Tamandua tetradactyla: one gene and its partners. The protein of the gene in region 1 interacts with the protein of each later gene in a pairwise test. Links are inferred from orthologs where the notes say so. Each region holds a gene or a part of one and is shown in the gene's direction. Other genes may lie near its edges. The genes, in order: ADAMTSL4, AMMECR1, SHFL and apolipoprotein L6-like.

The links.
Region 2: the proteins of ADAMTSL4 (region 1) and AMMECR1 interact in binary tests that used the Homo sapiens proteins (3 or more experiments, as listed by UniProt). The two-hybrid records come from large-scale screens. The link is inferred for Tamandua tetradactyla from reciprocal best matches to the Homo sapiens genes ADAMTSL4 and AMMECR1.
Region 3: the proteins of ADAMTSL4 (region 1) and SHFL interact in binary tests that used the Homo sapiens proteins (3 or more experiments, as listed by UniProt). The two-hybrid records come from large-scale screens. The link is inferred for Tamandua tetradactyla from reciprocal best matches to the Homo sapiens genes ADAMTSL4 and SHFL.
Region 4: the proteins of ADAMTSL4 (region 1) and apolipoprotein L6-like interact in binary tests that used the Homo sapiens proteins (3 or more experiments, as listed by UniProt). The two-hybrid records come from large-scale screens. The link is inferred for Tamandua tetradactyla from reciprocal best matches to the Homo sapiens genes ADAMTSL4 and APOL6.

What each region holds. Positions count from the first base shown.
Region 1 is NC_135330.1:5,200,564-5,207,665, reverse strand, and holds the start of ADAMTSL4 (ADAMTS-like protein 4), read left to right. Parts: upstream 1-4,099; 5' UTR 4,100-4,171; intron 4,172-4,656; exon of another isoform or gene 4,657-4,760; intron 4,761-6,143; 5' UTR 6,144-6,236; coding exon 6,237-6,256; intron 6,257-6,461; coding exon 6,462-6,531; intron 6,532-6,810; coding exon 6,811-7,102. UniProt on the Homo sapiens protein: Positive regulation of apoptosis. May facilitate FBN1 microfibril biogenesis.
Region 2 is NC_135353.1:60,430,839-60,438,820, forward strand, and holds the start of AMMECR1 (nuclear protein AMMECR1), read left to right. Parts: upstream 1-4,972; 5' UTR 4,973-4,997; coding exon 4,998-5,464; intron 5,465-7,982.
Region 3 is NC_135337.1:91,635,155-91,642,235, reverse strand, and holds the start of SHFL (shiftless antiviral inhibitor of ribosomal frameshifting protein), read left to right. Parts: upstream 1-4,070; 5' UTR 4,071-4,181; coding exon 4,182-4,202; intron 4,203-4,697; coding exon 4,698-4,821; intron 4,822-5,029; coding exon 5,030-5,079; intron 5,080-6,341; coding exon 6,342-6,380; intron 6,381-6,615; coding exon 6,616-6,765; intron 6,766-7,081.
Region 4 is NC_135333.1:28,018,937-28,026,241, forward strand, and holds the start of apolipoprotein L6-like, read left to right. Parts: upstream 1-4,291; 5' UTR 4,292-6,083; coding exon 6,084-6,150; intron 6,151-7,164; coding exon 7,165-7,212; intron 7,213-7,305. UniProt on the Homo sapiens protein: May affect the movement of lipids in the cytoplasm or allow the binding of lipids to organelles.

The sequences.
Region 1 (7,102 bases):
CACATGAGTTCAAACCACCTGACACAGTTGTCAACGTGCTGCCACTTTTGTGAATCTAATGGCTTCCAAGATCAGCCATGTCCAATCAATCCATTCAATTCCATAAACACTTACCGAGCACTTCCTGTTTTCCTAACACTGATCAACAGACATGTGGCTCAGAGTGGCACCGAGGCAAAGGCTGCAACTGAGAAGCCCCGGACCCACCAGAGAGGCACTGTAGATGGAAACCAAATTAAGAAGGATTTTGGCTTTGGGAATTTCTGACCAAATTTTAAGTCTACAGAGCAGTGACTAGGAGATCAGGGAGTTCCATGCCAGCCCTCATCCTACCAAATGGGTCATATCCTGTTTCCTTATCACCTAACGACCAGCCCAGCCAGGGCGAGGCAAAACAACAGACAGAAAGTGCTGGAATGTGGCCAGAGTGGAGGCAAAGCTCGCCATTTCTTGTCTAGTCCATCTTGTCATGGACCAGATGCCTACTACGTGCAAGATAGAGTGGGGACCGTAAACAAGGCAGGCTGGCTTCCAGCTCCAGGTTCCTCATAAAGAACAGGTGACACTGAGCTGTTCTGGTAACTCCCATGGGGAGTGGGCTCAGGGGCCAAGCCAGAGCCAAATGGTCAGGAGACTCACATCAGTGGAACAATGAAAAACAGCATGAGACAATGTGACAGGACGCTGGGAATGAACAGCCAGAGACCAGCCTGGCGTGCAGCAATCAGGAATGGAGTGGCTCTTCTGGAACAAAGGAGCTGAGCAAACCATGATTCCGAGAGGCAGAAAGGCAAACACCAGGATTTCTGCAAATGGTGCAATGACCACACACCCACACACCAAAAGACCCAGCGGTGTCACATCAGTGTCTAGGCCCCGCCCACACCCGCTGGTATTCGCATCAGCATTATCTCGGCTTAGGATCATCACACATGAAACATGAAGGTCTTCTTCTAAACTGTTATTTAATTCAACACAATGACAACTTCCTCAATCTACTACTGGGAAAAAAAAAATGATTTGCTAAGTGCACTCAGCTAAGTTTTCTCAAAAGTTTTGTTTGCCCAAAATATTCAGATAGTGCCCAAGTTAGAATCCTGCCAAGTTAGGATCTCCACTTTCTGGAGATTTGGGGCAAGTTACTGAATTTTTCTCTGTGTCTTTGTTTCCAAGTCTGCAAATAGCACAACAGTCCCCACCTCACAGCATGACTATGAGGAGCGAAGGAGGAACTTTTACATTTCCAAATTGCATAAAGCTTTTATGGCACATATAACAAAGTGCTGCATGGGTTAGCTGTGCTCTTAGTAAGTCAGTCTTTTCAGCTCAAAGTCAGACTAACACTCAGCCTGCCTCCCTCTCTTTGTCCTTTACCTATCCGAGACCTAGAGATACTTTCTGGGTGACCAGCTACTCATAACATAATCTTTTTTTCTTTTTATTAATCTTTATCTATAAAGTTAATAGCAAACCTCTCCCTCCTGTCAAAACCTCTAAATCCACTTTCTGTCTCTGCAAATGTACTATTTCTAGATGTCTCATATAAGTGGAATCATGCAATATTTGTCCTTTTTGTGCATCTGGTTTAGCTCACTCAACATGACGTCTTCAAGTTCCAGCCACGTTGTAATGTCTCAGAACTTCATTCTTTCCTGTGGAATGATGGACATCTATGATGGACACTTCGGGTTATTTCCACCTTTTAGCTATTGTGAATAATGCTACTACGAACTCTACAATGATATCTTTGAGACTGTGCTTTTTTCTCTCTGAGTAGATACTTAGGAATGAAGTTGCAGGGTTTTACGATAAGTCTAGGTTTAACTTTTTGAGGAATTGCCACATTGCTTTCCATAGTGGTTGCACCACTTTACATTCCCAAATTGCATCATCTTTTCAGATACTTCTTCTTCTCCTTCTTTGGCTTTTAAAAAGGGGAATTTAATAAGTTACAAGTTTACAGTTTCTAGGGCAATGAAAACGCCCAAAGTAAGGCACCAACAAGAGGTTACCTTCATTCAAGGAAGGTCCATGGGTCAGGAGCCCCTCTGTCAGCTGGGCAGTCATGTGGTGAGCATCTGCCTCTGCAGGTTCTGGCTTGTCTCACCTGTCATGGCGAGGTCTGCTGGGCTCCAAGCAGCTCCAGACATCTGTGTTTCTGTTCTTCACGTGTCCGTACCTGTGTCAGCTCTGCTGGGACTGAAGCTTCTTTTTATCCTCGAGAAAATGTCCATAAATTTAATCCAGTACTTCAGAAGTTGCTGAGGCATAGGAAATTCTTATCTTTATACAATATTTTCAGACCATCCTATCATGGGCTGTGACAGCTGTTGTAAGCCTTGTGAACTCTTTGGTCTGCAGCCATTTCTTAATGGAAAGAACTATTTCTGGCCTTCAGTTCACGGCAGTTACAAATGTCAAAGGAGGACCTGCCCCCTCCACCCGGCTGCCTTCCCACGGTCTCAGTCCCACCTTCCTGTCCCCGCGCTGCCTCCTTGTAGATAAGTGGACGCTGATGGGGTGTGACAGGGGCACTGAAAGGTCCTGGCCTAATATATCTCCTTCTGCGCCTGCAGGCTGGGTGTCTCCTCGTCTGTATTGTACTTTGAGGACTGGGCAAAGGGGCATCCTGCGCTCACCCACGACTATAAATACACGTCTCTGTAAGGACTGTGTGTCACCAGCAGTATCCAGATGAAGATAAAGCAGGATTCCTGGGGGAGGGGGGGAGCATTAACCCATTATTTGCCCAAACCCGTTGGGAAAACAGTAAATATGAAGGCTAAGCTAAGGCCCAAGCTGGAGGCCACAGTTGTGTTTTGTAAGGTCTACTCAGTGGTTTAAAGGCTTTTTTTTTTCCAGTGACTTGACAATATTTTAAAACCGGAATATAACTTCTCTTGAAAAACAAAAAGCTCTGAGCACATCATCCTGCAGCCTCACCAAGTCAGGGGTCTGAGCACCGCAGCCAGGTCGGGGGCTCGAGCTGGGGGCTCGGGAGGGGAGGGGGGCAGGCCCAGCCTAGGCACCCAACACTTGCTCTCCTGGTCTCTAGCCTTCCAATTCAAACATTTCCCTACAAGTGCAAAAATGAAACATGAAAAATAGACAGTACAAAGCAGCGTAAATAGTCCTTGGCCTGAAAGAACTTATTTTTATTGAGAATATAAAACATGCATGTTCAACTTCAAATAAGGACGCAATTCTTACATTCTGATAGCATCTTATTGCGTCCCTTCCAATATCTCCTTCCAGTTGGCATTTTCTTCTGCTGTGCCCAGGACTTACCTCCCTGTGGCTCCTGGCACCCTGGGCGCCTCTTCCAACCCTGCCCTAAGCATGAATGTATTAGGTGCTTAGGAAATGTTAGGTGGGGCCCCAAGAGCCCTGTTTTGTGGGGATCCAGGACAATGTTGCTAGAATTTCTATTTTTGTGCTTTCATTTTTCAAGAAACGCTATAAAATAAGCTGGTTTTAAAATATTGACAAGTCACTGAAAAAAATAAAACCCACAACAGCAACAACTTTAAAACACTGCGTAGACCCAACAAAACATGACCGTGCGTCATGAGTAAAGCCTGCAACAAAAAAGTGACCGTTCATTAACAATTTTACATAAATTATTAATTTTTAGTATAATTAATATCTAGATAGGGCTTATGGTTAAAAAACTAGAACGTAAGCATGTAGAAAAGGCGACCCCTCACTGCCCGCCCCCGGGCGTCCGGGCGGCGGTCCCCAGGCGCGAACGGATGGCGCCCGTCGCTGTCCCCGGGTGGACGAGTCGATCCCCACGGGGGTGCCGCGGGGCCGGGAAGCGCCGGAACCGGGGACCCCCGAGCCGGCCCGGGGTGGACAGGCCGAGGCTCGGCGGCGCCCGCCGCGCAGGGGGATGCGCTCTCGGACCCACGCGGGCGCCGGCGGGCCGGGGGTCGGGGGGGGCGCCGGGGTCCCCCAAGCCGGCGCGGCCGACACCCCCAGGCGGCGCCCCTCCGGCCGCGGGAGGCCGCTCCTCGGCCCCGGGCCCGCGGTGGGCGGCCCCGGCGGGGTGGGGGGGTCCCCCAGGGGGCGGGGCGGGGGCGGGGCCGGGCGCGGGCGGCCGCGGCCGAGCGGGGCTGCGGGACAGAGCGCGGCGCGAGGGGCGACGGGCAGCCCGGGGTGCGCCGAGCAGGTACCGACCCGCGGGACCCCCCACCCCGGCCCTGGCAGCCCCGGGGAGCCTCCGCCCTGCGTGGGATCCCGGGGCGGGGCTCTGGTCTGGGAGACCTCCGGCCCCGCCGCGCGGGCAGGGAAGCAGCCCCCCTGGCCGCCAGCCCCGCGGGAAAGTTGGAAACTTACCCCGGACCCCTCGGAGCCGGCGCCCCCCACCCCGCCCTCCGGAGTCGGGGGTCGGGGCGCTGGGCGGGCGCAGGCGGGGCCCGCGGTCCAGCTCGGCCTGGCTACGGGAGACTTCCCCCAGAGGCCACCTGTCCAGGCGGGTCGGGGACCCGGGGCGTCCGCTGAGGGCAGGGAGCCGAGGGGCCAGGACAGGGGTCCCCGCTGCCCGCTCAGAGGCCTACTGTACCCCCCCACATACACACCCCTCCCGGGGTACCTCATCCCCTGAGGTGGGCCCTTGGGGTGCAGGGGTTCCCTCTGCCCGGCCCCCTCCTGGATCTTTGCCGGCCGGTTTGGGGGTGTGGCCAGGAGGACCCAAGTTCGTCCAGACCACTGTCCAGCCTGGCACCGGCTGCCTTTCTGGCCTCTCCTGTCCTGGGCAGGTGAGGGACTCGAGCAGGGGTGAGGGGTGCAGATGCGTTGTCTGCCACAGGGCGACCATGGGCCCCTGCCCAGCTGTGCAGGGAGGCTGGGTGGGACTTTTCCAGAGAGGGAGCCAGGCCTGGCCAGGGCCCCAGGAGCTCACGTCACCCCCAAGCCCCCACCCCTCACTCCAGGGAACTGCCAGAGCCAAAGCCAGCACGGATGGAGTGTGTCCTGGGGAGACCCGGGGAAGGAGATGACAGGACACAGGCCCCGGGTGGCAGAGGGAAGCAGGGACAGGGCAGTGAAGAGGGGACAGGCAGTGACCAACCCCAAGTAAAGGTTCGTAGGAATCAAGCCGAGGGGTGACGGGGTGGGTGGAACGTGACTGCTTCCTAGAACCTCAGTCCCCTGCCCCGATGGCTGTAGCTGACAAGAACTCCCTGTCCTGGGACCTTGGGCCGGGGTGTGAGCTGAGGGTTGTAGCCCCCGGCCACTCCTGCCCCCTCTCCCCCAACCCCCGCCTGGCCCACTGCAGCCCTGGCTCCTTGGACTCCTCTCCTGGTGCTTTCAGCTCCAACAGAAACACAATTTTTTTTTCCTGGAAAGCAGAATTAAAAGCAGGCTGAGGGGCGGAGGCGGGGAGATTGGAAGGACTCAAATTGAAAAGGAGGGGGCTGGAGGGCAAGGAGGAATGGGGAGTCAGGCTTTGAGGCCGGAGGAAAGTTCCAGGCCCCCCTTCCCCAGTGACTACAGCTGGACTCCGGGGAGGACTTCCCAGCACTTCTGATGCCAGCCTGTGATGGGGGCGCACTGGTGGCCCGAGCACCACTCCCCGTCCCGGGTGTCCCCAGCCGGTCATAGTGGCTCCAACAAGCCCTTGTTGTGCCAGGGCAGGATGCTAGAGCCCAGAGTGCAGGGGAAACACGATGGTTAAATCTGCTTCCTCTCTAGAGATTAAACCATCGCCCCCCTTATCTTATCCCTGGGCTGGGAAGCCTGTGAGGCAGGCAGAGATGTGACGACGGCAGCATAAGTTGCTTAGGGAAGGGAACGCTGGGCAGTAGGAAAAAGGATGCTTAGGAAAGATCTTTTCTGGAAAGCCCACGTTGCTCCTTCAGCCCCTCAGAGGGGAGCTGTGGTGTCCTCCCTGAACCTCCCTCCACTTTCCAGGTCCTCTGGGTGGGGCTCCGGGTAAAGACCGTCCTGAGAGTGGGGCTACCTGTGTGTGAGCCCGGGCGGGCTGGCCAGGGAAGGGCCAGGGTTGCTGGGAGGCAGGGGACAGGCCCTTCCTTCCTGCTCCCACCCGGGGGCCTGGCCTTAAGGGGTGTGCTGGGCTTCCCCCTCCCCGTCGCCTCCCCTCTGATCTGGCCTCCTGAGCGCCCATCCCTCCCCATCTGCAGCTCCCTGGAGCCTGGAGAGGTCACCGCGGGGCTTCACCGCTCCCAGATGCCTGAGTAGTGTGTCCCTGCCTTCGGGCAATCGGGGGAGGAGCCATGGAGAGGTGGCCCGGCAGGTAGGAGCTGGGGTTGTCTTGGCGGGGTGGGGGGGGCCACCCCTGGAAGTAGGGACAGGAGATCACCGCTGGCCCCGGGGAAGTGAGGAAACGCTGCTCTCTGAGAAGCTGACACTCAGGATGGAGGGAGCCTGCTGGGGGATGAGGGGGGCGGCGCCTTGCCAGGCCCCCGTCTGACACCCCCATGCCCGCCTCTGCCCCGCAGGCCCAGGCTGTGGCTGACGCTGCTTCTCACCCTCCCGCCGCTCTGCCTGGACCAGGAGGTGAGCAGGGAGGTGAGGGCCCGCCGCCTGCCTGGCACCCCTGCCATCTCCCCGTGCTTCCCACCCCCAGCTCCAGGACGTGCCTCCATTTCCCTCGGCCCTACCAAGCCGGGGCCCGTGTCACTCACGCAGGGCCCCCAGCCTCCCCGGTCACCTTCCCAGCACCAAGCACATCAAGGCAACCAAGTTCTAGTCCGGCCTCCACCAACAGATGTGACCTCGGGTGATGACATAGCCTTTACGGTTCCCTCGAAATCATTTGAATTCTCTCTGACCTTTTTCTCTACACAGGTGTTGTCTGGACACTCTCTTCAGACACCCTCAGAGGAGGGCCAGGGCTTCGAGGGCCTCTGGGGCCCCTGGGGCCAGTGGGCGTCTTGCTCGCAGCCCTGTGGGGTGGGGGTGCAGCGCAGAAGCCGGACATGCCAGCTCCCTCCAGCTCACCTCCACCTGGGCCTGCCTCTCCCTCCCCGGCCCCCAAGACATCCAGAAGCCCTGCTGCCCCGGGTCCGGGGCCCCAGGCCCCAGACTTCCCGAGAAACCCTCCCCCTGTACAGGCCAGAGCCTCGGGAAAGGGGTGGCC
Region 2 (7,982 bases), on another chromosome or scaffold:
GGATGACAGTTGAGAAGTTTTGATGACAGAGGATAAAAATAACACTTGTTTCGGCATAAATGACAGTTTTTTTTCATTGAACTATGTGAACATTTCTTGTCTCACCCACACCCCCAGAAACCTAAGAAAACAATTTTGCAACATTAACAAGTTTTCTCTACCTCATCAAATACTAATTATTTTTCTATTATTTGGAATAAAAGAAAACTGCTACAAACATAAGAATAAATTGAGATAAAATAATCAGTAACTATTGGGCTTAATTCAATTTCCATTTTCACCACATAGTATATTATATGCATAACCTTTGTTTGAATAGTTTTCACAGTTGTATAACAAAACATTTGATAAGAGAATTAGTTAACAGCAATTTAGAGGCAGACAGATGTAGAAATGATTAAAATTTGAATGTGCTTTGTTGACAAAGAAGCCATGGTTTTTTTGTTTTTGTTTTTAATTTAAAAGAAGCATGGAATCTTAAACTCCCAGCTTGATAGTCAGTTACAAAGAGCAGAAGGCACCTTAATATTTCCTCTGGAGGGTATTATCACTTCACTGCAGTATCAGCAGTGGTTAGAAACACATTGCTCTATCACATTTTGATCTTTATACTTCAAGTCTAGAGATTCCTGAGTAAGGTCAGTTTTCCCACCATTGTGCGCTTTCCATAGTTGCTCAACAACCCATGTTCACAGAATTTGATCTGTAGATTTCATTTATGTTTGAATGAAATATGTTTACTTCTGTGCTGGTGACTTTACAAGGAAAAAAGACCAGGAAAGGCATTGCCTCAGAGTCTAAAAGGAGGCATTACTGCCATCACTACCACCATCATTACCTGCCAGGGAATTTAAAGAGCATCTTGAGGCTCAAGGTTAACATGGCAGATGAGCCAAGCTCAGGAGAAGTTAATACGGAGAAAAAGACTAGAATGTTTCTTCGCTTCTTAGCCAATGCAACAAAGTACTTCAGATAGTAACCCCTAGCGGTAAGACGATGTTTTCTGTAATGATCATGTTTGGGTTTGTCTATTTCTTTTGTGCTAGTGATGTCTGGAATTGGAATAAAAATCCTTGCGTGGCAGGGAAGGGGAGAGCTATTTCTGTAATTCAGCTGGGGTGTCCTTGTTCTTGGGTTTCCCATTGTATCAGTCCTTTAGGCTGGTACAATAGCCATGATAGTGCTTTGTCCTTTAGATGAAATGCAGAACTAAGGACACGACTACTGGTGCTTATTAAAGATTTCTTGCTATTTTCACAAGAGTAGGGGCGTTAGACTCTTGTCTACTGGCCAAATTCTAAATCGGGAGATTACATTCTGCTTTCCTAAATTCCCCTAGCAGAAGCAGTCATCCATGGCATCCTACTTTGCTTCCTATGCTAAACTGTTGGGTGATGTCACTAAATGGCTCTAGGTTTCTACTCTGGAAGTGATCATTTTTTAGTGTTTTGGGGAGTAAATCAGTACCTATTGTCTGATGTTATATTTGACCCAGTTTCAAACGAATTAAATGGTAGGCTCTGAGAGTTAAGAATATAGCACAAAAAACCAAACAAACAAAAACACCTACAAATTGTTGTGTTTGCTTTTTAAAAATCAATCTTCTCTTTCCTCTGCAACACAGAAAAAAATTAATGCTGTTGTTTTTACACCACTAATAGTTGACAATGATTTCTTATTTGCCTTAAATATGAGGTTAGTTCTAACAGTGATGATGAGGTTTGAGAGGATAATATCAATCATGTATTACAAACTAGCTTATCCATCACTTTGGTCTTTAGGTTGCATCTAAGCATCACAGACAGATGATCTGTCTATTTTTTGAACTCTTTTTGGAAGGAGATTCTTCCTCTTTTCATGGTAATATATTTTAGTGACTCTCAATCTTTCCGTAACTAAGTTCTTATATTTGATTAAGCTCCATTCTACCTACCATAGTTAAATATAATTATCTTATGTTCATCATTAACCTTGTTATCATATATTGGTATGGAGAGGTGGTATAGCATAATGACATTTTTTTTTTTGAATCACATATGCCTGAATTCAAATCATGGCTGTCACTTTCTGAGTGTATGAAATTGGGCAAGTTACTTCTGAGGTTCAATTTCCTCATCTCTAAAAGAGCAATCTCAAAGGGTTGTTGTGAAAATCAAAGGAGAGACTATATTATTTTGAAACATTATGGGGTAAGATGAGGCACCTAAAAAGTGTTAAAAAATAGTAGCTATTTATTTTATTTTATCGGTAGATTGGATTTAATTCATGAACTCTTTGAGTGTGGGAAGCATATGTATTCCCTACAGTTCAACATAAGTACAGTGTTGTGCACATGGTATGGAGCAGGGGTTCAATTTCTGTCTGTCTATCTATCTATCGAATTAGACTTTTTTTTTCCTGAGTGGAATGAACAGTCAGTTCCCAGCTGTTTGCAAGATGCCACACATTTAGATCAAAGGTGACAAAAATCAATCATTTTCTGATATTTTCAAATATGCAGATACCTAACTTTGTCTAGCAGTTTTGGCATGGTGTAGGCACAATGCAAATGACTTATCCTTTCTATTGCTATGAATTTTAACATTTTATTATTGATACTATTTACTTATTTAGCTGCATTTTAAGTAAGCAGAATTGCATTGACTTAATCATCCATTTCCTCAACCACTGACGCATTCGTCATTGAGAAGTTTAAAATTTGAACATTAAGAATTACTTATATACTTGAATAAATTCTTTTGACCTGTGATTAGGTAAACAGTCTACTTTATTTACCTGTAAGATCTGTGTCGACTACGGTATATTTCTTTTTTTTTTAAAAAAAAGCATTTTTATTGATCTATCTTCATGTACCATACAGTCCACCCAAAATATGCAATCAATGGTTCACAATATCACCACATAGTTGTGTATTCATCACCATAGTTACTTTTAGAACATTTGCATTACTCCAAAAAAAGAAAGAAAAAGAAAAGCCTCAACATTCCACACCCATTCCCCTCCCTCTTATTGACCACTAGTAATGTAATCTACCCAAGTATTTTTTACTCCTTGTCCTTACTTTTTTACTCATCTGTCCATACACTAGATAAAGGGAGCATAAGCCACAAGGTTTTCACAATCATACGGTCACATTGTAAAAATTATATAGTTATACAATCATCTTCAAGAATCAAGGCTACTGGAACACAGTTCAACATTCAGGTACTTCCCTCCAGCCACTCCAATACACCATAAACTAAAAAGGGATAGCTATATATAACGCATAAGAATAACCTCCAGGAAAACCTCTCGGGCTCTATTTGAAATCTCTCAGCCACTGTAACTTTGTTTCATTTGTCTTTCTGCTTTTGGTCAAGAAGTCTTCTCACTTCCACCATGCCAGGGCCAGGCTCATCCCCTGGAGTCATGTCCCACCTTGCCAGGGAGATTTACACCCCTGGGACTCATGTCCCACATAGGGGGAGGGCAGTGAGTTCACCTGTGGAGTTGGCTTAGAGAAAGCGGCCACATCTGAGTGATAAAAGTGGTTCTCTGGGGCTGATTCTTAGACACAATTATAAGTAGGCTTAGGTTCTCCTTTGCATGAGTAAGTTTTATAGGGGTGAGCCCCAAGATTGAGGCTCAGTCTATTAAATAGGTTGTCCACAACACTTGTGAGAGTATCAGGAATTCTCCAGGTCGGGAAGTTTAACATTTCCTCCTTTTCCCCCAGTCCTTCAAGGGGACTTCACAAATACTTTTTTATTCTCTGCCCAAATTACTCTGCAATATATTGGGACATCACATTAACTGTACAACTCAACAAGATCTCACTCCCTTATTCAAGAATCCATGCTATTATGTGTTGGAATAAGCTGACCATACAAGTTAAATTACATAGTGTGCTACAGAATATACAAATTTTGCACCAAATACACTTCCCTCCTTTTGGTCTCACACAGAAATTGAAGTTTTAAAATACTGACCATGTCATCCTTTATACTGTATTGATTTACCTTAGTCCTATTCAGATCAGCTTCATTCATATCTCTAGTTGAAGTCAACAGGTATATTTCTAATTGCTATATTCCCAAGCCAAGAAACAACCCCCCAAAACCTACTACTCCAAGTCCTAAAGCACAATTAACAGTTTTGAAACAGTGAAGTGTTGGATAGCACTTTCCACTTTCAAACGCTTTCACGGGGCTAGCAGGGAAAGTTGGGGGGAAAAGTACAAGATATATAGAGATTCAATAGCGCTTGAATATTTGTCGGTAAGGACAGGAAAGAGTATTGCTCGGGAAACTGGCGGTGTGCGCTCAGATTGGTATCAAAGATTCTACAGTATGACCATTTCCTGGATTGCTTTATACATTCATACTTTACAGGGGCGGTATCAGGTATGGCGCTCCGAGCACCTGCTTGTTCACACGCCAACAGTTCAGAAACCAGCGTATTTGAGGCCGGGTGGCTCAAGTTTCGCTTAGCGCGCGGCTCAAGTGTCATTAACTCATACATCCCACGCGGATCATCGATCCGAGCTCTTCGACTTGGATGCTTACTTTGGACTTTCTTCTTCCTCCACCCCACACCCCCGCCCCACTAGTTTCCTTTTCGCTCCTTCCTCTTGAGGCGTGTCCACCTCTTCCCTTTGCTCCCAAACTCCACTTTGTCTTGTCGTTTCCTTCACTTTCCTTTCTACTCGGTTTCGCGCCTTCCATCCTCTGCGGGGCTCAGGGCTCCGGGCTTCAGCTCACAGAAGTCCCTCCGCGGGCGGTCGTGACGCGCGCCTTGGCCGGAGGCACCTCAAACGCCAGGAGAGTGGGGCGCGCGCTTAGGCGGGGACGCGCGCCGAGGGAGTCGCGTAGCCGGGCAACGGGGCAGGGCAGCGGCGCGCGCGCTCCCCGCGAGTCCCCGGCGCGTTCCCGGCGGCTGGGGCCTCAGCGTGCTCGCCCCCGCTGCCAGCTCGCTTCACTTATGGGTCGGAAGCGTTGCGTGGGGGAGACTGTTCCAAGATGGCGGCGGGTTGCTGTGGGGTGAAGAAGCAGAAACTGTCCAGTTCGCCCCCCTCTGGCTCGGGTGGCGGTAGTGGCGCCTCCTCCTCCTCCCACTGCAGCGGAGAGAGCCAGTGCCGAGCGGGGGAGTTGGGACTAGGAGGCGCCGGCACGCGGCTCAACGGACTGGGAGGTCTAACCGGAGGAGGTAGCGGCAGCGGCTGTGCCCTCTCTCCCCCCCAGGGCGGCGGCGGCGGGGGCATTTCCCTGTCGCCACCTCCGAGCTGCGGAGTGGGGACCCTACTTTCTACCCCGGCTCCCGCCACCTCTTCCTCGACCTCCTCATCGCCCGCCGCTTCGTCCTCATCGCCCGGCTCCCGGAAGATGGTGGTGTCAGCAGATATGTGCTGTTTTTGCTTCGATGTGCTCTACTGTCACCTGTATGGATACCAGCAGCCACGGACCCCCCGGTTCACCAACGAGCCCTAGTGAGTACCTTGTCCTCCGCCGCCCTCTCGCTTGCGCTCGGGATGGGGCTAAGAGTTAAGGCAAAGTGCGAGTCCGCCTCCCCCCCGGTGGCGGTCCCTGCTCCTCTCGCTGCTCGGGTCTCTGGAGCTACTCGACCTAAAGACACCCCGCGCTTTCTGCCCTACGAGGGAAGCACCCCACTCTTGGAGCGGGGTGCTGCGGCAAGGGATGACTCACTGGCTCCCAGAGGTGTTTGCTTTCTCTTTGCGAGAACTTCGAGGAGTTTTGACCCTTTCCTTCCTTCTTTCGCCACTCCCCCACCCGGGTTTTGTAGCTATGGATTACTAAAGGTGTTGACCTCTCCTCATTTGGTTTCCCTTACCCGACATGAAAGCCCCGCCGGTATTCCCGCCCGGCGTATCTTGCACTTGGAGAGCTACTATCTATCCCACTGCAGGGTGAAAAATAGTAACTATCCAACTTCTGTTCTGCTACTGATGCAACTTCTCTCCGGAGCTTGTGCGAAGGTTACCCATCTTTTCCTCCGGGTTTCCCTGTGTCCTGGAGGGGATTTTTTAAAAAATACATTTCCCCCTTATACCTATTTATATCCGAACATACCCATTAAAATGTGTTTTTAGTGAAACGCACTGCCAGCTCGCTCACGTTGAGAAGTGAGACCTTTTTCCTCCTTCTTTTTTCATTCTACTTTCTGGGTAATAGCTCATTCAAAGTGAGAACTGTCTCCACAGAGCCACTGTCAGCTTGTACATAAAGCGTGCATTCGCTTTTGTGTCGACTTCACTTCTGTATCTGTGTTATACTCGACAATTTGAGAAATATCCAAACGATCCCAACTAAATGTGTAGGGTTTTTTTTTTTTTAATGGTTTCCTTTGTTTGTACTTTTAATTTTAATTGTTTTACCCTTCAAGAGTGTGGTTGAAATTGTTTAAAATAACACTTACGCCTAAAAGCCAGGTTAACCCTAATCTCTGTCCATCTGGATGTGTGGGAGGTGGGTCATGTGTTTTTTTTAAATGTGTAAACTAAGTGTAAACTGACTTTTTGCGTTAAATGCTAGACAGACTGTAAAAACCAAGGAAGAGCAGGATGAGAAAGAGGGCAATAGCTTTTATTACTTGGCATCAACAAGGAAAATAATAGATGAAAATTTCAGTGAAACTTGTACTTTAAAGCATCATCCCTTTTTCAAGCTAAGACAAGTGCCCCTTGTCTCCTGGATCATAACTACCTGAATTGATGTTTTTTAAAACAGCTTCTTTTCATTTTGTGAGATTAGACAATTGGACTACTACTGCATAAACATAAACACTTCTGCCTAGTCTAAAAATATTAAATTACTGTGTAAAGTGGAAGTTGTAATAAAAGTGTCCTGGAAATGGTAAATTCGTATAGTTTGTTTTCTTTGGGCTTTAATATATTAAATGTATTTAATTTTGTATGACATTTCTGTGATCTTGCATTTTCTTTCAGGCCTGGTTTGCCTTTGGACACTGGTTCATAAGGAATGTATGAAAGGACATCCAGGCTGACACTTTTTCAAATTAATTAAATATCTTTATAAATGTTATAGTGTTAATTCTAGGAGCTTAAATCCAAGTCCACATCTTTATTTAGTCAATTAATTTTTTTGGTTCTCAGGAAGTAAAATCCATTTTGAAAAGACTATCATGTAAAAATCTATGAAATATTTATTAGCTTGAGTCACTTATATGTGACTTTTCTTGGATTCTGGGATGATACTTAAGTTGGCGCTGCAAAGTCATGGGACTGCAAAAATTCACTCCTGTTTAGTTTTTGAGCTGTTACATGAGTTTGGCAAACGCTGTTTTGGTATTCAGGCTCCATTGCTCCAAAGTATATGAAAATACACTTTCAGGAGGTGCTATTTTCACACATTTAAAAATGTTTGGGTTAACTGAATGAATATAACAAAAATTTTAGCAGGAGAAGTGAGTTTGAACAGTCATACAGAAAATGCTTTTGAAAATATCATTTAACAATGGCTACTTTGCACATGTATTTAGGTATGGTTTCTCTTCTTATATCCCAGGTACTGGATTTATTTTCTATGTTTTTACAACTGGAATTAAACAGACAAATAAGACACACTTTTGACCACTGTGGATATGTTAAAATGTAGTGGAAGAATAATTGTTATAACTTAGCAGGCCATGAATGTCATGTATTCTACAAAACAACTAATTTAAAGTATGCTCTGAACATGACCAAGGAGAGAATGAAAGTTCACTTAAGTCCTAAGAGGATTGCAGTAGAAAGTTTTATCTTAAAGTCATTTTGAAGTATATTATGGAAATTTCAGGAAATCTTAAAAGCAGTGTTTGATTATTTGGGTAAAATACCTAATCACTCAACAGTGCCTTAGTAATCCACCACACATTTTTTCTTCCTGCTTTAAGTAATTAGTGGTATTGTGTACTTAGTGTGGCTTTATCCTGGTTGCCATCAGACATAAATAGACAGTTTTTTTTCCTAGGAATTATATTAGTATCAT
Region 3 (7,081 bases), on another chromosome or scaffold:
GGCTCACTTGCTCCGGGGAAGCCAGTACAATCAGCACCAGCCTGCCGGCCATGTGACGGAGCCACCTGAAATGTAAACCTTCCAGCCCCAGGCCAATTTCCAGATTATGCAGCCCCAGCCAGTATATACATGCATATTTTTTCTTCTTTTTTTTTTGTTTACATGGGCAGGCACCAGAATCAAACCCGGGTCTCCAGCATCGCAGGTGAGAATTCTGCCACTGAGCCACTGTGGCCAGCCCTATATATTTTAATTAGAGAAACTGTGGGTTTACAGAGAAATCATGCATGCAGGGTCCCCGTATACCACCCTATTATTGATACCTTGCATTGGTGTGGTTCATTTGTTACAACCAGTGAAAGGGCATTTTCATGTTTAACTTAGGGCTTGCTGTTTGTACAGTGCAGTTTCATGGATTTTTAAATTCTTTTATCCTAGTACCATATATGTATACAATGTAACATGTCCCCTTAAAGCACATTCAGTTATATATTTCAGTGCTGTTAATTATGTTCACAGTGTCAGGTTACCATTGCCAAAACACTTCCATCGTTCCAAGTAGGAGCTCCATACATTTTTTTAAAGAAAATAAAAGTAAAAAGAATACCCAAAATATCCCTTCCTCCCCACCCCTTATTGCTTATTTATTTTTTGTCTTTTTTTTTTCTTACTCATCTGTCCTTACACTGGATAAGGGGAGCATCAGTCACAACGTTTTCATAATCACACGGACAGACCTTAAAAGCCCTAAAGTTGTTCAATCTTCTTCAAAATCAAGGCCACTGGAACACAGTTCAACAGTTTCAGGTATTTCCCTCTAGCCACTCCAAAACACCATACACTGAAAAAGGATATCTGTATAATGCATAAGAATAACCTCCAGAGTGACCTTTTGCCTCTGTTTGAAATCTCTCTGCCACTGAAACCTGGTCTCACTTCTCTCTTCCCTCTTTTGGTCAAGGTTTTCTCAGTCCCGTGATGCCGGTCCCAGCTCATCCCGGGAGTTCTGTTCCACATTGCCAGGGAGATTTACACCCCTGGGAGTCATGTCCCATGTAGGGGGAGGGTTATGGGTTCACCTGCCAAGTTCTCAGCCAACATCTTGTCTGCAAACTTTTGAGACTCTGAACCAGAATGGTCCAGCTAAACCACTTTCGACACACAAAAACTGTATCTGATGCAAATGTTTTAAGAAATGCTCATGGTGATGTCTGTGATGTTGTGAGTTATTGATTATATACCAAGAATGGAATGATCATATGGTAAGAATGTTCATGTTTGTATGTCATTATGTTTAAAAAAATTTTTTTAATTAAAAAAAAAGTAATTGGCCATAGATGTATGGGTCTATTTCAGGACTTTCAATTGACTGTCTATTTTTCTGTCTTTGTGCCAATACCTCGCTATTTTGATTACTGTTGCTTTGTAATACAATTTGTAATTTGGGAAGTATGAGTCCTCCAAGTCTTTTGTTCTTTTTCAAGATGGTTTGGGTTTCAAGACCCCTTGCAGTTCCACATAAATTTGAGGATGTGTTTTTCCACTTATGAAAAAAAGGCTGCTGAAATTTTAATAGGGATTGCATTGAATTTGTATGTGGCATTAAGGAATATTGACATATTTACAAGGCTAACTCTTCCAATCCACAAACATGAATGTCTTGCCATTTACTTAAGCATTCCTTAATTTTTTTAGTAGTAGTTTATAGTTTTCAGTATACAAATATTTTGTATCCTTAGTTAAATTTATTTCTAGATAGTTTATTTATTTAGATGCTATTATAAATGGAATTGTTTTCTTAATTTCCTCTTCAGATTGTTCCTTACCTGCATATAGGAACACAATTGCTTTTTGTATGTTGATCTTATATCCTCTCACTTTGTTGAATTCATTCATCAGCTCTAATAGTTTTTTTGTGGATTCCTTTAGGGTTTCTGTATATAAGATTATGTCTGCAAGTAAAGTTGATTTTACTTATTCTTTTCAAAAAAAAAAAACTGTATCAGATAAATGTTTGTTGTTTTAAGACACCAAACTTGGGGGTCATTTGTTACGCAGCAATGAAAACTAACACAACTGATAACGACAGGCCCATGCTCCCACCTCAGGGCCTTTGCACTTGCTGTTCCCCCATCTAGAACTTTCTCCTCCCAGATATCCGCATAGCTCCTTCCCTCCCTTCCTTCAGGTCTCCCCTCAAATGTCACTTCCTGTGACCCTCCCCCACCCCCCATTTCTACATTTCCCCATCCTCTTATTCCAGCTCCTTTTTCAGTTTAGGATTTATCACCCCCCTTCATATTATGTATTTGTGTCTTGCCTGTCCCCCGCCCTGGAACACCAACTCCAGAAGGGCCAGGATCTTTGTTTTCTTCACTGCTGTATCTACCATGCCTGGAACAGCATCTAGGAACAGAATAGGTGCTCAAAGTCACGGCTGTCTTTCTTAGAATCTAGCAGACCTGATTTGAGCCAGGCCTGGATCAGACCCTGTTTCCTGCCCACCCAGTACCCACCCTGCTCAGGGGATGGGACACGGCTGTGACCTTACCCTCCACCGAGACAGATTACTAATTGGTAACTCTGACGGGAGAAGTCCATGGGTCTCAGGGTCCATCCTCACTTCCCACTACCCTCAGGATAAAGTCCCAGTACAACTACAGGCGCCTCTCTTCACCTGAAATCCCACCCTCCAGCCACAAAGACCATGAACTGCTTGCACTTCACTTACAGAAGCCTGCAAAGTGGGGGTGCACCACCCCACAAACCAACCTTCGGGGCTCACGTAGAATACATTAGAACACCCCAATCTTTTAATCACCGCTTTTTGTTTTCCAATCTGCAGAATCTATTGGTAGAGTTGTATTTGCATGTAATTTATAAATAAAGAAACTTTCATATGGGGCTCAGTTTCAGCATTTTTACTGATTGGGGTGCAGAAAATTGAAGGAAAAAAAATGTTGGCATCTTTTACCCTAAAGCAATTCACCCACCCCACCCAAGGGACACTCGAGGATTTCTGTAGTCATTTGGGTTGACCGGGGTTCGGGGGGGCTTCTGGCATCTAGTTAGTAGAGACGAAGGATGCTGCTAAACATCCTACAAAGCACAGGGCATCACCGCTCCCCCCCCCCCAAGAACTATCTAGAACAAAATGTTAGTGTCCTGGCAGAGAAACTGCCTTAAAGCGCCAGGTTCTCAACTGCTTCTCTCAATTGTAACAGAGGCCCAGAGCCCCAACGAAGACCTCAAACTTCACGGACTCTGTACCAGCACCTCCTCCTCCAAGCAGCTATCTTTGGGGGGCCCTGGGCTGGGCTGGGCCGGTGCCTCTCCTTAGGGCTCCTTCGGCTCCAGGTGCAGGGTTAGAATCCTCCCGGCTCACAGGTTTCCCAACCTCCAGAGTGACAATGGAGATTCCCCAGAGTCCTTTCCCCCACCAGCGGGCTGTAGAACCGAGCACTTGAATTTTTAACAAGCACCCCCCCACCCCCTCCTCCGAGCCCCGAGCGCTTAGTCGGGTGACCATTTGAGGACCTGGCACCTGCGAGGCGCTGCCCAGTGCCCTAACTCAGGCCCTCGAGGCCCGACCTCCCGCTTTGCCCGCCCCCAGGATGTAGCCACTGTCAGCGCCCCCATTTTACAGAGGGGTAAACTGAGGTGGCGAGGAGGGCTCCGGCCAGCTCAGAGGCTCAGAACGGAAAGGGGATCCCAAGGCCTGGTTCCTCGGCGGGGAAGGGGAGACGGGGCGCAGCGGGGGCGGGGGGGCTCGGGGGCCCCGCCACGGCCCGGCGATGCGGCCCCGCCCCCACGAGGGACGTGAAGACGCGGAGCCCGCGCCGCGTGGGCACATGTGACCGACTGCAGAGGCCGCACCGGCCCCCTCCCCGCCCCGGGTTCGCGCGCTCCGCCGCAGGGCGCGGGTCCAGGGCGCCCGCCCGGGTTTGGGGCGCACGAGCCGGGGCGGAGCCAAGGAAGAGCCCAGGTGCCTCATTTCCTCTCCTACCTCCCCAAAGCCCAGAGAAACGAAAGCGAAAGAGGGGTTCAGGGAAGAAGGGCGGGGCCGGCCCCCAGGCCCCGCCCCGCCCTGCGCGGCATCCGGACCGCCGAGCGCAGCCAGGAACGGGGGACTGCCGAGCCGCGCAGCGCCGACCCTCGGGGAGCCCCGCGCCGCCGCCGCCATGTCCCAGGAAGGTGTGGAGGTAGGAGACGGCCACGGCTGCCCCGGGGGACCCGGAGAGTCGCCGGGGGGAGGAGCCGGGGCGCGCGGCGGGCTTCGCAGTTTCCCGGGGAACCCCCCCCCCCCCCCCGCTCCATCCTGAACCCAGACCTTCCCCCCCGGGCTGGCCCTCGCTCCCCCCTCAGGAAGGAGAGTGACCGCCGCGCCTCACCCCGGGGTCAAGCGGGGGCTGCAGGGTCAGGGGTCAGAGTTCAGAGCCAGGGACTCCCTGGCCAGCATCCCTCCTAAACCCGGGACGCCGCTCCTCGCCCTCCCCTGCCCCCAGTGCCCTGTAGGGACTTTGGATTTTTCCAGGAAGTGCGTGGAAGGAGGGGGAGGCTGGGGGGGGGCGGCCAGGCCAAAAGCAAGGGTCAAGTTCAGGGCGGGAGAGCGCTGCCTAGGGTTGGTGGAGGGGCGAGCGCCCCTCGCCTCCCCCAACGCAGCCTCCCCCACCCTCACCCCCGTGCCCCACTCCAAGCTGGAGAAGAGCTCCCGGCGCCTGCGGGAGAAGTTTCATGGGAAGGTCTCCTCCGAGAGGGCGGGGGCTCTGATGCGGAAATACGACAGCGACCACACCGGTGTGGGGCGCTCCATCGTGTACGGTGAGGGGGCTGGGGGGGGGGCTGGGTGATGTGGAGGAAGCGCCGAGAGGGACCTGGCCTGACTGAGGGAGGGAAGAGGCGTTGAGATCACCTGCTGGGGGCCCCAGCCTTGGGGAGGGTCTGTGCTGCAGGGGGTCTGGGGGAGGGTGGCCTAAAACATCCCCAGACTCTTCAAGGGCCCTTCACTTACACCTGCTGTCTCCACCAGAGGTGAAGCAGAAAGACGGAAAGGAACTAAGCAGTGACCTGGAGACCCAGGTAATCTGCTCCCTCCCTTCAGAGGCGGGGATAATGGGGGCGGGGAGGGCAGAGGGACCAGCCCAGCCACCCAGAGCTCCCCCCCTCCAAAGCAGAAGGAACTGGGCACTGCCAGTCCACAACTCGTGGTCCAAATTTATTTGCTTATTTACCTCTGTATTTGTGTCCGGCCAGGGAGTTGGCAAACAGCAGGCGCTCGATATGTGCGGATTGGATTAAAACGGGGAGGCAGTGACAGGAGCCAGAATTAATGCCATCCTGGGGTGGGGGGTTGTGAGAAGTCAGGGAAGGCTTCCTGGAGGAGGTGATGCCCCGTCTTAAAGGATGGCAAGCAGTGAGCCCTGCAAAGAGGAGGGGACGGATCGCGTCCGGAAAGAAGGATGGTGTGAGAAAGGAAACTGAGAGGGGCATTCATTCCTGGAAAGACTGGGGTGAGCAGGAGATGGGGGAGGTGAGGCGGCCGGGGAGCTCGTGTTTTGAATGAATGAATGGATGGATGGATGGATGAAAGGCTTTGAAGCACGCAGCTGCTTTGCCTTTTCGAAACAGGGCTTTGGTGGTTGGTAGACTGGATTTTACCAGCCTAAAAGGCACAGCGTAGAGTCATAAACCTGTAATAAAAACCAGGCACCGGGATTAGCACTTCCCATGTGGCAGGGCTGGAGGAATCTTACATGTGTTGATTTATTTCAGCCTCACAGCGGAGCCCAGGAGTTAGGTTCTATTACTTATTGTTCCCATTTCACAAACAAGGAAACTGAGGTCCAGAGTGATGACGTCAGTTGCCAGGCAGATGGGCGAGTGGGTGGCAGCTGGGATTCGAACCCTGCCCACCTGGAGGCAGAGTCTGAGCTCTGAGATGCAACTTAAGGAACCACGGCCCGCAGCTGGAAGTGGTGGAGCCGGGATTCGAACCTGCGGCTCTGGGAATCCCGGGCTTTGCAAGGCTGCTGCAAGGAGGGGGACCTGTCTCCGGGCCAGCCAGGGTGTGGCTGGGGAGGCGGCACTCACAGTGGAAGATGGTGTTGGTGGGCAGGGTGGGAGCGCGGGGTCTCTAGTTCTTGGCCTCAGTTTCTCCATCTGAGCCATGGGGATAACAGGTGTGCACACCTCTAACTAATGGAGGTGCAAGTGGATGTTGCTCGTCGTGAGTCGGGGGCACCCCCATCTTCATGCTGGGCTGGGGCCCTCCTCCCCCGCCTTCCCCCACCACCCCTGCTCCGGGAACCCCAATTGTAGGAGCTCCTCATTTCTCTACCCAGGACCCCCCTGAGGACATGAAGCAGGACCAGGACATTAAGGTGAGTCGGCACCTGGCGCAGGTCTTGGGGGGGATGTGTGGGGGCACCCATGGCGGACGAGGCGGAGGGGGGCCCTGGGGAGGGGTGGAGGAGCAGCCTCTGCTGTGAGGAGGTGTCTGGGGGAAGGAGGAGTGAAGTCGGTCACGAGGGCAGAAGACAGTGGTCAGGGGAGGGGTGACCCCTGCAGAGGGAGGAGAGGTGACCCCCCCGCCTCCGTCCCCCCCCAATTCCGCAGGAGGTGGCGACGTCCCTGCTGCCGCTGACGGTAGCCAACCTGCGCATGTTCCAGCGGGCGCAGGAGGACCTCATCCCGGCCGTGGACCACCAGTTCGCCTGCTCCAGCTGCGACCATGTCTGGTGGCGTCGCGTGCCCGAGCGCAAGCAGGTGAGACCCGGACTCGCGACCTTGACTCGCTCCCGAACTTGGCTCCCGGCCCCCATCCTCGGCGCCTGGCCCTCTGACCCGAGGACATCCATGTCGGAGAGCCTGGCTCCTGACCCCTGACCCCTGACCCCTGACCTCCAAGGTCCACCTCGGCCCTAAATCACTAACCCGGAGCTGGACTTATGAGCTTTTAATTGGAGAAGCCCCAGAGCCTGAACCCCGAATTGCACAGTTGGAGGCTGCGCCCCGCCCCCTCCCCCCCCCCCCCCCCCCCCCGCAAATCAAGCTTTACCCCAAAACCACAACCCCACATCTG
Region 4 (7,305 bases), on another chromosome or scaffold:
TCAGCAGAAATCATGGAGGTGAGAAGACAGTGGGATGATATATTTAAATTACTAAAAGAGAAAAACTGCTAACCAAGATTTCTGTATCCAGCAAAATTGTCCTTCAGAAATGAGGGAGAAATTAAAACATTTTCAGACAAAAAATCACTGAGAGAATTTGTGACCAAGAGACCAACTCTACAAGAAATACTAAAGGGAGCACTAGAGACAGATACGAAAAGACAAAAGAGAGAGGTGTGGAGAAGAGTGTAGAAAGGAAGACCGAGTAAAGGTAAAAAGAAGGAAAATTAGATATGACATATAAAATCCAAAAGGCAAAATGGTAGAAGAAAGTACTACCCATACAATAATAACACTAAATGTTAAAGGATTTTGACTTCTGACATTCTGATTAGTAAGTGTCTTAGAGTACGTCTATTTGGATCTATTCTCTTTGGGGTATGCTGCACTTCTTGGATCTGTAATTTTAAGTCTTTCATAAGAGTTGGGAAATTTTCAGTGATAATTTCCTCCATTAGTTTTTCTCCTCCTTTTCCCTTCTTTTCTCCTTCTGGGACACCCATAACATTCATGCGCTTCATATTGTCATTCAATTCCCTGAGTCCCTGCTCATATATTTCCATTTTTTTCCCTATAGTTTCTGTTTCTTGTCAGATTTTAGGTGTTCTGTCCTCCAGTTCACTAGTCCTTTCTTCTGCCTCTCGAAATCTACTGTTGTAGGTTTCCAGTGTTTTTCATTGCTTCTACTGTGCCTTTCATTCCCATAAGTTCTGGGATTTGTTTTTTCAGACTTTCAGTTTCTTCTTTTTGTTCTTTCCTTGCCTTCTTTATATCCTCCCTCAATTCATTGATTTTGTTTTGTTTTGTTTTTTAACATGGGCAGGCACTGGGAATCAAACCCAAGTCCTCGGGCATGGCAGGCAAGCATTCTTGCCTGTTGAGCCACCATGGCCCACCCTGATTTGGTTTTTGATGAGGTTTTCCATCTCTGTTCATATATTCTGAATTAATTGTTTCAGCTCCTGTATTTCATTTGAATTGTTGGTTTGTTCCTTTGACTGGGCCATATCTTCAATTTTCCTGGTGCGATTTGTTATTTTTTGCTGGCATCTAGACATTTAATTATCTTAACTAATTTATTCTGTAGATTACTTTCACCTCTTTTACTTAGGGTTTTCTTGCTGGATGAATTTGTTGTCTATCTGTTCTTTGACCTTCAGTTCAGCTTTTTCTGGACCTCTAGCTTAGGTTTTGTTTAACAGAGGAGAATTTTTCAGTTCTTGTTTTCTTGTTTCTTGCCCTGCTTGTATGGTGCCTTTTCCCCCCAACCCTTAGGAGGCTCTATGTAGGTATTATAGATGCCAGTCATATTTTCTCAGACCAAACTGGCCTCCTATCAGGAGGAAAGAGTCACCTGTGCCAGTTTTCCCTGAGGGTGAGACCCAGCAGGTTGAAAGACTTTCCTGTGAAGTCTCTGGACTCTGTTTTTCTTATTCTGCCCAGTATGTGGCACTTATCTGCCTGCAGGTCCTACCAGCATAAGATGATGTGGTACCTTTAACTTTGGCAGACTCTCCCTGCTGGGGGCATGGTGGAGACAGAGGAGAGGTTGTAGGCCTGTTTTAATGGCTTCAAATTACCAAGCCCTGGTGTCTGAATTCCTTGAGGAAGGGATTCCACCTGAGTTGGGCCTCACCCCTCCCCTGGGGAAAGCACAGGCTCCAGACAAGACCTCAAATGAGTTTGTTTCTGCCTATGCCTGTGGCAGTTGCAGCCTGAGAAGTCCTGCTGCTGTATCCAAAGGCAGTCAAGTCTTTGTAGAAACACAGCCACAAAAGCCTCTATTTCTTTTCTTTTTTTCTTTTTCCATCAGCCCAATGAGTGACCTCCGCTTTGACCAGGTTCACCTGAGCTGGGGGCCTATTTTTAGTAGTCGGAATTTGTTAATTGGTGTTTGGTTGGGCTCAGCCCCTGCTGCTGTTAAAGTCTCTTTCTTTTCCCCTCTGGGAAGTAGCCTGTTGGGGAGGGGCACCGGCCACTGCGGCTTGGGGAACTCATGGTTCTGGGGAGGCTCGCAGCCAGTCCAGCTGGTCCAGACTGGGGTATGCTGTGTGTCCGGTCACTGACATGGCCCCAGGAGCTGTTCTGTCCTGTTTCTGGTTATTTAGTAGTTGTTCTTGAGGACGAACTAAAACGTGCACATTGCTAAGCTGCCATCTTGGCCCCTATCCTCAAACTTTTGGTTTTGAGAGCATTTCCTGTTTCAGTATCACAGATAAAAGATATTAGACCTTGTAACCCTTCACCAGGTTGTTACAAGGATCAGGCTGAATAGCACGTAGGACAATGATTTTGCACCCATCATCACCACCGTAGCTTCATTTGTGGGGTGCCTGTTACATGCTCGCCAAGGGGTTCTTTTTTGCCTGGGCTCTGTGCCACAGGAGCTAGCTATTTTCTTCCCATTTCACAGATGGGGTGCCGCGGTCCAGCCGCAGCAGAGGGAACGGGCTTGAAGGTGTGGAGGGTCGTCGGCGTGAGAAGAACACCAAGAGACAGCTTAGAGAATTTTCCTCTGAGAAGAGTTGCTTAGATTTATTTTTGCTTAACTGATTTTATACCCTTATTCTTGGCAAGGAAACAGGTATCACAGAATCATGGTTGTGTCATGGCTTACGTTTTAGGTAAAGTTACAGGTTCAGGGAAGCAAAGCGAAAGTACACGTTCTGATTTTCTTAGGAACACTTACACAAGATTTTAATAGCAGCAAGATATTGGCTTAAACCACAGACATTGTATTTGTAGTTTTCTGAGTTTAGACTTTCTTTTCCTATTATTCTACAGGTGAGGCAATATGTTAAGACCTATTTTAATCTGGTTAAAGGTTAGCTTGTTTTGATTAAAAGCTTACATTGTTTACTTAGATTTTTTATTGTTTTATAGCAATGGACCGGTGCCGTGGTGGGGAGTAAATTTCCAGGATGGCTCAATGCAGGGTTTTTTAATTGTAAGTGTTTACTTTCTATGGGGTACTTTTCTGTGACTTGTTCTAAAAGCACTTTTGCCTGCTGTATCTGCAGCATGACTTGCTTAATGGGGGCGTCCCAACCTATTTTTTTCCAAACAGTCATTAACAAGGTTTTGCAATTTGTACAATTTGTATCATTTTTTCCAATTCTTTTGCTTTCTGATTCGTTTTGATATAATGCTTGGAGCACAACCAGCAACAAGAAACACACAATTAGTGTCGTTAATCCCAGTATTTTTCTATTACACCATTTTATGCCTCGTCCTCTTTTGGGGCGTTGAAGGCCTTGCCTACCGCCCTTCCTTGAGGGAACCGTGTCAAACCGGGGAGGAAAAAGAGGACGCGGCAATGGGGAGCGCAGGTGGTGGCAGCTGAGAAACCAGCTCTAGCAATGCAGCCTGACCTGACTTCAGAACCCCGGTGTGGCCCTACCTATCCCTGATACTGCCCCCCACATGGCCAGAAAGTGGAGGAGGGCAGATAGGAAATTCAGGCCTCCTGCCTAATGCGGCACCCCCACCGCACCGTGCACCTCTTAGAGGAAGAAACAAGAAGGAAAGTGAAAGTGTGAGCCATTTCTCAGCAAACAGATGCTTTCTGGGAAGAGTTCCAGTGGGGAGTTTCCGCAGCTCTTCAGCGGAGCCCAGTCATTCGTGCAATCAAGCCCTGCCCAGAGCCAGCCTCCAGAGCCTCGGGCTGCTCCCGGATTCCTGATACTGCCTGAGACACGGCACTTCGCAGCTGTTCCACTGTAGCCCGGACACTCCTGGCCTGGCCTGGTCAGAGGCCCTGGAGAAGCGAGGCTAGAAGCTGCTGACTTCCTGTCCTCAGGCCAGTCCTCCAGGGAGAGGTTCGCTGAGGGGAGGTGGGTCAGCAGGAGGGAGGGTGGGAGGCAGGCTGCATCTGCGCTCCCTGAAGGGGTTAGCTACAAAGCCTCTTGGTGCAGGAAAAACAGCTTTTGTCAGGGCAACGGGGGTTCAAATCCCTTGTCCAGGCAGATACTAACTTGGTGGGTTTGAGAGGCTCAGCTTCTTTCCATGCCAAATCAGGACAGGGAATTCTCCTTCATGGGGCTGTTTGAAGTTTAAGTGAAAACATGCTGAAGAGTGTGGAATGACATCTTCTCCTCTCTTGGCTGGGGGCACCGACACCCCTGACTGATGTAGGAGACGGCACTGGCCTTGATGGGCATTGTTTAGGAGTGATATCGTCTCAGAAAAAAAAAAAAGATGCTGGGTGAGTTGTCTTGAAACTGTAAAGCAAACTGGTGAGTTTTGCTAGCTTGTCAGTTTATCTGGAGTAGTTTGAAGTGGGGGAGGGGTGTTGGTGATAAAGTTTAGGGGGATCACCTCAAAGCTCTATTTTTAGAGTAGCAGGCTTTTCTTACTTAGAGTGTAAGTTAAGGGAGTTGGTATTCCCAGGGAGATGCTGCTGGAGAATATGGTAGAGTTAGAGGCTCTCCAAGCAATTAAAGAAAGATTGTTATGGATAGTGTCTAAACTCTCAAATCCTCTCCCATCGTCATCGCACTCACTTGTGCGTGGGTGTAGTTCTATGCGGTGTTATCACGTGTGTAAATTTGTGTGAGCACAACTGCAATCAAGTTCCATAATCTTTGCTCCCTTTTCATAAACACGTGGCCACTTCCCTTGCCTACTGTGGTTTTCGCCTCTTTTTAGTTTCAACTTTTCTCTTTTAGATGTATCTCTTGTAAGAAGTGTAGAGTTGAGTTTTGCTTTCTCACCCAGTTTGAGTCTTTTCTTTTGAACAGAGTATTTTTATCCCATTTCCAATAGGGACAAATGCTTAAACTATCGACCCTTAACATTTTCTGAGGCAGGCATTTTCCCACCCTATTTTACAGACAAGGAAAGGGAGTCTTAAGGCAGTGAATTAATTTTCTTGAACTCACAAAACTGATAAGTGGCGGGACAGGCTTGAATTCAGTTAACCCTGTTCTCTCTATGCTCATTATTAGTCTGTTTGTTTCTCTGGGTGGGGGAGATAACATCTCTTCCTAGCCAGGATATCCTGTCCCTCTGGTTGTGGGAAACAGCAGGGACAAACCCTTTTGAATGTTGAAAGATCTCAAATCTGCGAAAGTATGCTTTCCTCCAGGCCAGCCATTTCATTGGAGGGTAAAACAGATCCGGTGATGCCTTGTTTGTAAGAGAAAGATGGGAAACAAAATGACCCAGAAATACAGAGATACACAAATATGGGTCAGTGGTCCTCAGGCTTTCTTTCACTTGGCTTCCAAAATGTCACCTTCAGTTGGTTCTCCTCAAATGTCACTTCACTTCTCCTTCTCTGTCTCTTGCTGTTTTTTCCTCTTCCTGAACCACACTGTATTAGTCAACGTTCTCTAGAGAAACAGAATCGACAGAAGAAATCTGTAAATATGAGATTGATAAGAATCTTACACAACCATGGGAATGCAAGAGTCCCAAAACCCATGGGCCAGGCTGCAAGACTGGCAACTCCCGTGAAGGGTTTCAATGAGCTCCACAGGAGAGGCTCACTGGCTGAAGAAGCAGTGAAAACTCTCTCTTCTCCCTTATATGTTTTTAGCAGATCAGATCAACTCCAACCAATTGGATTATATCATTTGCGGGAGACATGCCCTTAGTTAATCGTAGATTTAATCAACCACGGATACTTTCAACTGACTGATAATTTGATAAACCAGCCTTTTGGTTTACCAAAGAGCCATGAAATGTCCTTGGAGGAATGGTTAGGCCAGAGCTTGCCTGGCCAGACAATTGGGCACCATCACCTGGCCAAGTTGATGTCAGAACCTAACCATCGCACTCACTTTGCCTCTATGTTACTCTCTCCCTGGGGTTCTCATCCCATCTGTGGGCTTTAATTAGTTTCCACACTGATGCTTCCATGAACTCTAGACTCACATGTCCACTGCTTACTCAGTATCTCATGAATGTTTAACAAGCCCCTCAAACGTAACATGACCTAAACTGAACTCTGTGGCTCCCCATCCAGCCTGCCCCCCAAAACCTCAGCCTTTCCCAGCTTCATCAATGGCTTCTTCATTGTAATGGTTGCTCAGGCTCCAGAGCTTGAAGACATCCTTGATTCTGCTCTCCTATGTCCCTCAGCCACTGGTAAGTCCTGATTGCTTCCCAAAAATCCAGTCACTTTTCACCACCGCTACTGCTGCCAGCCTGGTGCAGGTTATCACCCCTTGCCCCAACTACTGCAATCACTTCCTAAGTGATCTACTTGCTTCCTGTCTTGCAAGCTTATGGTTTATAAAAATAAAATACAAGTTAAAGCAGAGTCACTACTGGCTCTTAGGTGCCTGAATGTGTATTAGAAGATGCCCACTTCCCTTATGCCCCTCAAGTAGATCCGGTAGATGGCACCTTTGTCCAATCAATCAACCAACCAATGTTCTCTTTTCTCCAGATAGACACATGGCCTCTCCTTCCTTGGCCATGGCCCCCCAGGTCTCACTGCTTGTCAAGGGGAGGATTTCAGCCCCACCAGAACCCTCAGCTAGAGTCTGGGGGGTCCCTCTAATGAAATCAGTATGTCCTGGGGAATAGAATGTGTACACAGGTTCTTTATAAGAGGTTGTCTTGTCCTGCAAAAGCAATCTTTGAAAGAATTTTCTAATCCTTGATTCGATTATCTCCATGGAGATTCTGACACACCCAGTTGTGGGTATTATGGGTCTTGATTAGCTTACTGGAAAAGAGGAAGCATTTTAGAGAGAGCCACACAGGAGACCCATGAGAGCCATGAGAACCACAAGAGCCCACACAGCCAGAGACCTTTGGAGATAAAAAAAAAGGAAAAGAACCCTAGGGGAACTTCATGAAACAAAAAGCCTGGAGAAAAAGCTAGTAGACATCGCTGTCTTTGTCATTTGCCTTTCCAGTTGAGAGCCTTCTTGAACCAAGATATCTTTCCCTGGATGCCTTAGATTGGACATTTATATAGCCTTGTTTTCATGTGGACATTTCACAGTCTTGGAACTGTAAGCTAGCAGAACTTATTAAATTCCCCATTTTAACGGCCATTCCATTTCTGATATATCATATTCAAACAGCTAGCAAACCAAAACGGTGGAATTGCCAGGTCAGGTGGTGATTTTATGTTTTAACTTTCTGCAGAACCATCACACTGTTTTCCACTGCAGCTACACCATCCCCACCGACAAGGTATGAGGGTTACTATTTTTCCATTTTTTAAATAACTATCCTAGTAAGTATGAAGTGGAATCCCATTGTAGTTTTAATTTGCATTTCTCTAAT